Linked DNA regions of Drosophila melanogaster. The protein of the gene in region 1 purifies or fractionates together with the protein of each later gene. This does not show direct contact. Each region holds a gene or a part of one and is shown on either strand. Other genes may lie near its edges. The genes, in order: Ufd1 and CG12321.

Region 1 (4,088 bases):
CTTTAGTTTGAGAGACACTTGACCAGGTGCCATCCGAGCGAAAGATGCATTGAATCGGAATGGGAATCGGTCCACTTTGCACTCACACTCACTCCGTGCGGCGCCGAGTGTGTACACGCTATGACCTTGCGGGGTTGCTGCCACCCACCGCCCACTTTGAACCCAAACCAACTCATTCATGACCCAGAGCAATCCAAAACGAAATCCACGCCGTGATATCACGTTGTGCTGAAAACAAAAAATGTATAATTTCTTTGCTTGACGTAAGCGCAAAGATCTGATGTTCGGAAATTACGAAAAACGAAATGTTTTTTTTTCTTCGAAATTCTGCAGCATGCGTATACACAGATTTTTGGGAATTTTGCTGCTTGTGTCGTTGGGCTATTTTAAAGTTTAAATGCTTATCGGAAAAGCTGCTCCATTTCGTTGGCTGTGCGCTTGTTAAATTTAGTTCCCAGACGCAAAAACTGTACGTACACAACAAGATGCCGGAGTTTTTCTTCTACCCTTAGTACTTTGCTCATCACAGTGCGACTTGGCTATAAACGATTGTATTCTAATTTGAATTTTCAAAAGAGCAGGCGATTTCATTTCACAATATTTCTTTAGCTTTGCAAAGCGTAAGCAAGTGTCATGATAACGAAAAGTGGATTTTCCCAGAAATATTTATAAATAATTTTGATAAGTTTACACAGAAAGTAAACTAAGTTTTTAGCGGAAGTGCAATATAAACAACATTTTGATTCTCGAAAAGAGGTTATCTTTAAAATCAAAAACAGAAATCGTTGTGAGTCCACTTATAAGTAAAAACTTTTGGAAACTGGAATATGTTGGGCCATAGAGCGCTTATTAAATGAATTTACAAAAATTTGCAAGGATGCAACTGACGCCTTAAGTTAGGCTTCATTATTTGAAGCCAGCTTGTGAGTCACTGGAATTTCATATTCTCTCGATTTTAATACGTTTTACATGACAAAGACAAAAGATGGGTAAATTTCACAATAGAGGGGGGTGGGGCTCTTTGTTGTGGGGAAGTTAGGGCGAGAGCGAAAGAAAGGCGAAGAAAGTGGGGAGCATGATGGCGAGGGGAGTGTCTGGAAGCTGCCAGAAGAGACAAGAGAGCGGGAGAGTGCGCATCCTCTCGCTCTTTTCACCTTCTGTTCGGTGTTTCTGTTGTTGTTCTTGTTTTTGGTGTGGCTGCAGCTGCGAAGCAACAATAACAACCACAACAGAGACTCGAAAACAGCTGCACACGAAAACGGTGGCTGTCAAACTGTTTTGCAAAATTTAAAATGTAACTGTACTTGGCAAAAACAATACATTTTGCTGTATTTCTGTATGTCGTAAAAGATCTTTCGACCTGGAAGCTGGAGAACACTTTTTCCAGCCACTTGGCCACCACCCCGCCTTTGAACAAACCAACCAATCGATTGGCCAGCTTATTGATTTTTCTATTCGAACATTTTGCATTTGTTGCTCGTTTCGGTCTTTTGCTTAGTGTGTTTGGTTCGAAAAAAGTATTGGCAATCATGTGGGCATCGACATACACACTTTTTTTTTATCACACCCACGCGAAAAACACGCGGCGCCAGCCAGACTAAAAGGATACAGGCAGCATATCCTGCACACACACACACACACGCGCGCACAAAAAAGCTCGCCAGGATCGAGTGGTGCAGTTGACCAGCAAACCGCAGCTGCTGACAGCCAATTTTGAGTAGCGGAAACAGTTGGAGCTGCTGCCCCGAAATGGGTACTCACTTGATCAGCAGCACTTTTTCGAATCAATATACCCGTCTATTCAATTTTTTTTTAAGCGGGACGAAGTCGCGCGCAACCACCGGCTTGCTGGGTTTGTTAGAGATGTGCCGATAACTCGCCACTGCGATAGCTCGAGTTGCTACTTTTTGTTGTACGCCACGCGCTTGGGATTTTAGCGAAATATGCGTGCCACAACTTAGCTTGTGCCGCAACCCCACACAGTGCTGCCACCTGTGGGCGAAAAAGTTACGTCTACATGGTGTTCTGGTCACACTGCCCCCGCCGTGACAAACAAAATAGAAAAAAAAATAAAACAAAAGATAAAATTTTAGCCTCCCCCCTTTGAGAAATAAAGGGTCATTTGAGGCAGTTTAAATCGAAAAGAATCCATAGGCACGGAGAGCCCAGCACACATAGAATGTTCCACTTCAGCGGCTTCAACATGATGTTCCCGGAGGGACGCAATTTTCATGCCAACTACAAGTGCTTCTCCGTATCCATGTTGCCAGGAAACGAGCGAACCGACGTGGAAAAGGGCGGAAAGAGTGAGTTACGAGTGTAGGCTGGACAGAAATTATGTGAACAACACATTCCATCCACAGTTATTATGCCTCCCTCGGCGCTGGACACGCTCACCCGCCTGAATGTCGAGTATCCAATGCTGTTCAAGCTGACCAACGTCAAGAAATCGCGATCCTCGCATGCCGGCGTACTCGAGTTTGTGGCCGACGAGGGCAAATGCTATCTACCCCACTGGATGATGGAAAACCTGCTGTTGGGTGAGGGCGACATACTCAACATCGAGAGTGTCTCGCTGCCGGTGGCCACCTTCTCAAAGTTTCAACCGCACAGCACCGACTTCCTGGACATCACCAATCCCAAGGCGGTGCTGGAGAATGCATTGCGCAACTTTGCCTGCCTCACCAGGGGCGATGTCATAGCCATTAAGTACAACAAGAAGGTCTACGAACTGTGTGTCCTGGAGACAAAGCCCGGCAATGCAGTCAGCATCATTGAGTGCGACATGAATGTGGAATTTGAGGCGCCAGTCGGCTACAAGGATCACTCCGAAACGCAGGCATCGGGCTCTGGGCAGCAGGGTGCTGCTGGAACTGTTGGCGGCGAAATCGCTGGAGCCACCAACGCCATACTCGAAGAGGTCGTGGAGACCTTCAAGGGTTCCGGCGTACGTCTCGATGGTAAGAAGAAGAAGGAAAGCCAGTTGGAAACGCCGGTCGTTAAGAAGGTGCTAGCCCGCGGCGTTCCAGACTATGATTTCCAGTTTGGACTCATCCGTTTCGATCGCAACATTCGGCCTATCAGTGATAGAAGCCAAGAAGATGATGCCGTAGCTGGCAATGCGGACGCTTCCGATGCGGAGAGCTTCCACGGCACCGGTTTCTCGATGAAGAAAACGCGCAAATAGCTCTGTATCTCTAGTTCTAGTTATATATTGTGTGACACATAGAAATTAAAGGAAAAACCTCACAGGGGCAGCGTCAACTTGATGGCCTCCTCCTTGGGCGGAGCCGGTGGCGATATGGTGGTCATGGGCGGCAATCGGCGTATCTTGCGTCCGTGTTTGCCTTCCTTGCGCTTCCACAGACCGGAACGTGGTCGATTGCCCATCTCCCGCATCCGCTGGGCACTGCCCACATGCTCCTTGTTGTGTTCCGGGTTGGACAGGCGACCAACCGTCGCCATGCAGGTGCGCTGGAAGGCGAACTCCCGCTTCGAGGGCAGCTGCACCACCACCTTTTCGTCGAACTTGCGCAGAATGGTGCCGAAGGTGCCGGCGGCATGGATCAGGTGGCACATCTGGCCGGGGTTCTTCTCCAGACAGTGAATGCGTGTGCCCACGGGCAAGGCGCCCAATGGATAGGCATCGCCTTCGTTGGGACGCACTATGGGATCATACAAAAAAAAAAAATTATATTGGCATAACTGGTTGTTTCAGAGCCAGTAAAATTTCTAGATTCCATGCTCAGTTTAAGACTATACTCAGAGGATTACTTAGAAAACGTTTAATACTCCCGATGAGTAACAGTAAGTAAATTTACCCGGAATCCTAGGAATAAAGCGCGAGGTCTTGAGGATATCGCCAGCCTTCATGTTCTCGGTGGCCAGGATGTACTTCAGCTCATCGCCGACGGCAACCAGGGCCACTTTGGCGGTGCGACAGCCATCGCGTAGCACCTCGAGTACCAGTTCCTCCTGGGCGCCCTCCGTGGGACCATCCCGCACCCATTTAACCCAGCGATACTGCTGTTTGATGCCTCCGCCAATGCCCTTGGCCACCAAGCGACCGGAGACGGGATCCCGACCAG
Region 2 (3,260 bases), on another chromosome or scaffold:
TGCGACACTATCTGCGGGTCCTTCACATCCCTGGCCAGCGTATCGAGCACATATTGTGTTCGCTTTCGCATGAAAATGTGCTGCGCCTGGGCGATGATCTGTTCGAGTATGGTCTGTGACTTGGTCATGTCCAACAACGTTTCCCGATCGGCGGCCATCGGACCGGCTAGCATGCGCTTCTTAGTGGGTCCCAGTGGTGCACTGGCCGGATGGGGAAAGGGATGGTGTGAGTTCTTGTAGTGCACCTCGCGCAGAAGCTGATGCAGCGAGTGTTCCAGAACATGATCATGATCGTTAATTGGCGCCGGCTGGCTGGAATCGAAGGTGGTTGAGTGGCACAACGAGATAATAAGTTGAATGTTAGGCAGCAGAGTGGCGCGAATTTGGTTGCCGATGACCACATGTGGAATTGGTGCCTGCAATTGGATAGCTTCACGTGCCAACTGAGCGAATAGCTCCTTGCAGAAGAGCACATTCTGGGCGAACTCCAGTGTCTTCTGCCAGACACCCACCTGGGCAGTTATATTGGGTCCGTGACCCATCAGATTCAGCTGAGCGGTGCACAAATCCTCCTGATCCTTCTGTGTGATCACCTTTATGTAGGCGACACCCTGCAGTTCCGCTGGAACAATCACTCGCAATGCGGAGCTGGCCTTAAGTTGCATGCCATTGTTGCCGGATACGCTACTGCTACTGTTGGATGAGCTGGCTGTGTCCTCATCACCGGTCTCTTCTGCTTTGGTCACCTCGAAGGTACCGCTCATGCCAAACTTGGAGCCCGCGGTGCGGTAGCTGAGATCCCCGATAATCGCATTGGACACCTTCTTCAGGCGCCAGTTCTGTCGCAGGCGCAGTAGTTCTATGTGGAAATCTGAGACATTGCGATTGCGCTGCTCGCTGTGCGCGTTCCGCAGGCGTTCAGCGCCACTTAGGAGCACTTGGGCTGCCTGAGAGATGGCTTTCTTGCGGCTGTACACCTGCACAATGGGCTTGGTGTCGTCAGCCTCCTCGAGCAGTGGATCGAGCACTAAATAGCGCTTGTCCTTGGCAATGGAGATCACATCGGACAGCACACATATCTCCGTGAGCGCATCCTTCAGCTTGTTGCGCACCGCATCCCAGGGCCACAGGCTCTCTTGGAACTGAGTGGCGTCCTTGTCCTCGTCGGCGGCCGCTGCCGCCGACTTCTCCTCCTTCTTGAGGTCGTCCAGCGACGTCTTGCTGAAGTCTATGCGCGCCGCACATTTCGCCAGACTTTCCGACAAAGTCGGCGGCCTAAGGAGAAAAAAACAAAGAACCCAATAAATCATTGAGAAGAGGGCTTGCTGGCTAGCGGAAACACATACGGCTGATACAATTCGGTGCCATCGTAGCCAATCTCACGTATCTGGTTCTCGCAAGTCGTTTCCACTGATATATTCACGGAATTCGACATATTTGCGCCGGGAAACAAAACATTTGGTTTGTCAAAGCAAAACTAAAGAATAGTGCTGCAAAACGTCTGCGGCCGGCTATCGATAAATGAGTGCTCAAAAACAACACTTTTTTCCAGGTTAGTAACGAATGTAATGTATAAAATATTGATATTTAAAAATGTTTAATATTTAATTAATATGTGTTATAAAATTACTTTCTTGCTTTAAATTAAGTTTTATTTATTTAAGACAAAACTTTGAAATTTAATGGCTTGGCCACGTGCTTATATTCATTTATATGCGAAGTATAAGTAGGCAGCAGTCAAAAAAATGTCCTTAAATGTAAATAAAATTTGTTTACCTTAAACAACGAAGTTATCTCTTTTGATTTTTGAACCGCACTTTTATTAAGCTCCTTGCCAGAGTTGCCACCCAGTGTCAATTGGTAAACACACCAACACTGGAATCATTACTTTCATATTTTTGACTTGACTTGAATTAGCATCTTCAACTCATTCCGGACACCAAGAGATTTAACCCAATTATGCTGTTTCTAAAGGACAAGCGTACCACTCTGGACGTAGCAGAGCACACAGTAATCATACCGAGCATTTGCGTGGGAAACGCGGCGCAGCTGGCCTGTGACCTGTTGATTGCGTCCAAGGAACTCCGGCGAATTGGATCCATCACACATCCAGCCCTGATTCCGGTCTACGGACCCTCCGCCTATCAGCACGAGCCCAAAGAGAAGGTCTCCTCCTGCGAACTGTACGAGGGTACGGAGGATAAGCTACTGGTCGTGCAATTCCGGGCGCCATGGGTTGCCCGCCACACCGCGCATTTTCAGAAGGAACTAGTGGAGCTCCTCAAGGGCGCCAGACGCGTAGTCATTCTAAGCGGCAGTTTCGGCTTCGAGAAACGAGTCATTGAGGAGTCGCCATGGGCATACCGCGCCAGCGAAAACTTCAAGGAAGCGCATGCTGCCCAGCTGGGCAATGAGGAGCTGATCAAGTGGAAGGAGCACAAGGGCGATGCCATCTATGGCGGCGGCAATGCCTTGCAGTTGTTTAAAGCCTTCGATGAGCAGAAGGTGCCCGTCATGCTGTTATTCCGCTATCTCCTCGAGGGCGACAACTCCACCGATGCATCTCTAATCGTCCGGGAACTGAACGAACTCTGCGAAGACTTCCTTCAGCTGCGCAACGGAGGCGATGGCAGTTTTAAGCTCACCGTGCCCAAGTCCTGGAACCTACTATTCGGCAATGATGTTACGGAACTTCTTTTTTAAGCGTCTACATGTATTTTTCGGTGCTTTCAAATAAATGTTAATCTTTTGGTGTAGGATAAAAGATATTGCTAGCTGTGTGCTCCCGAAAGAACTCTCTGCCATGCTCCTGGTGGTCCTGACGCGTGGTCAGCGTCTGACCGAAGGTGGGCTCTCCTGCGTGCACACATGCTCCCAGCCAGGCGCTTAAAGTTGGCTCATCCGACTCGTAGATGGCGAACTTTGATTGAAACGGTCGCATTTCCATGAGCTCCTTGATTAGTCGCTCCTTGAGACCCTTGAATTGGGCACAACCGCCGGTTAGGTACACGTGCTCAACCAGGCGCTGCTGCTCAGCGGCGGGAAATAGCTTCAGCACGAATGCTATTAGTTCTGCTAGCCCCGCCTCTGAGCAACCAATCATGCTGGGCTGGAATAGAACCTCCGGCACGCGAATGTTCTCAACCCCAAAGTGCAGCTGGTAGTTCTCGGCGGCACTCTGTGGCGGAACATTGGAGTTGCCATCGGTGTTGGCATCATAGTGATTTAGGATCTTATCGAACTGCATCAACTTTTCGTTA

The links.
Region 2: the proteins of Ufd1 (region 1) and CG12321 purify together in Drosophila melanogaster (affinity purification with mass spectrometry, with the first as the bait; one large-scale study listed by BioGRID). This does not show direct contact.

Annotation. Positions count from the first base shown.
Region 1 is NT_037436.4:11,121,140-11,125,227, reverse strand, and holds Ufd1 (ubiquitin fusion-degradation 1-like), read left to right. Parts: upstream 1-2,011; 5' UTR 2,012-2,179; coding exon 2,180-2,306; intron 2,307-2,363; coding exon 2,364-3,187; 3' UTR 3,188-3,246; downstream 3,247-4,088. Other genes in the region: mRpL2 (mitochondrial ribosomal protein L2), read right to left, coding at 3,247-3,665, 3,822-4,088.
Region 2 is NT_033777.3:18,187,305-18,190,564, reverse strand, and holds CG12321 (uncharacterized protein), read left to right. Parts: upstream 1-1,857; 5' UTR 1,858-1,959; coding exon 1,960-2,703; 3' UTR 2,704-2,740; downstream 2,741-3,260. Other genes in the region: MED17 (mediator complex subunit 17), read right to left, coding at 1-1,275, 1,347-1,435; Arp5 (Actin-related protein 5), read right to left, coding at 2,741-3,260.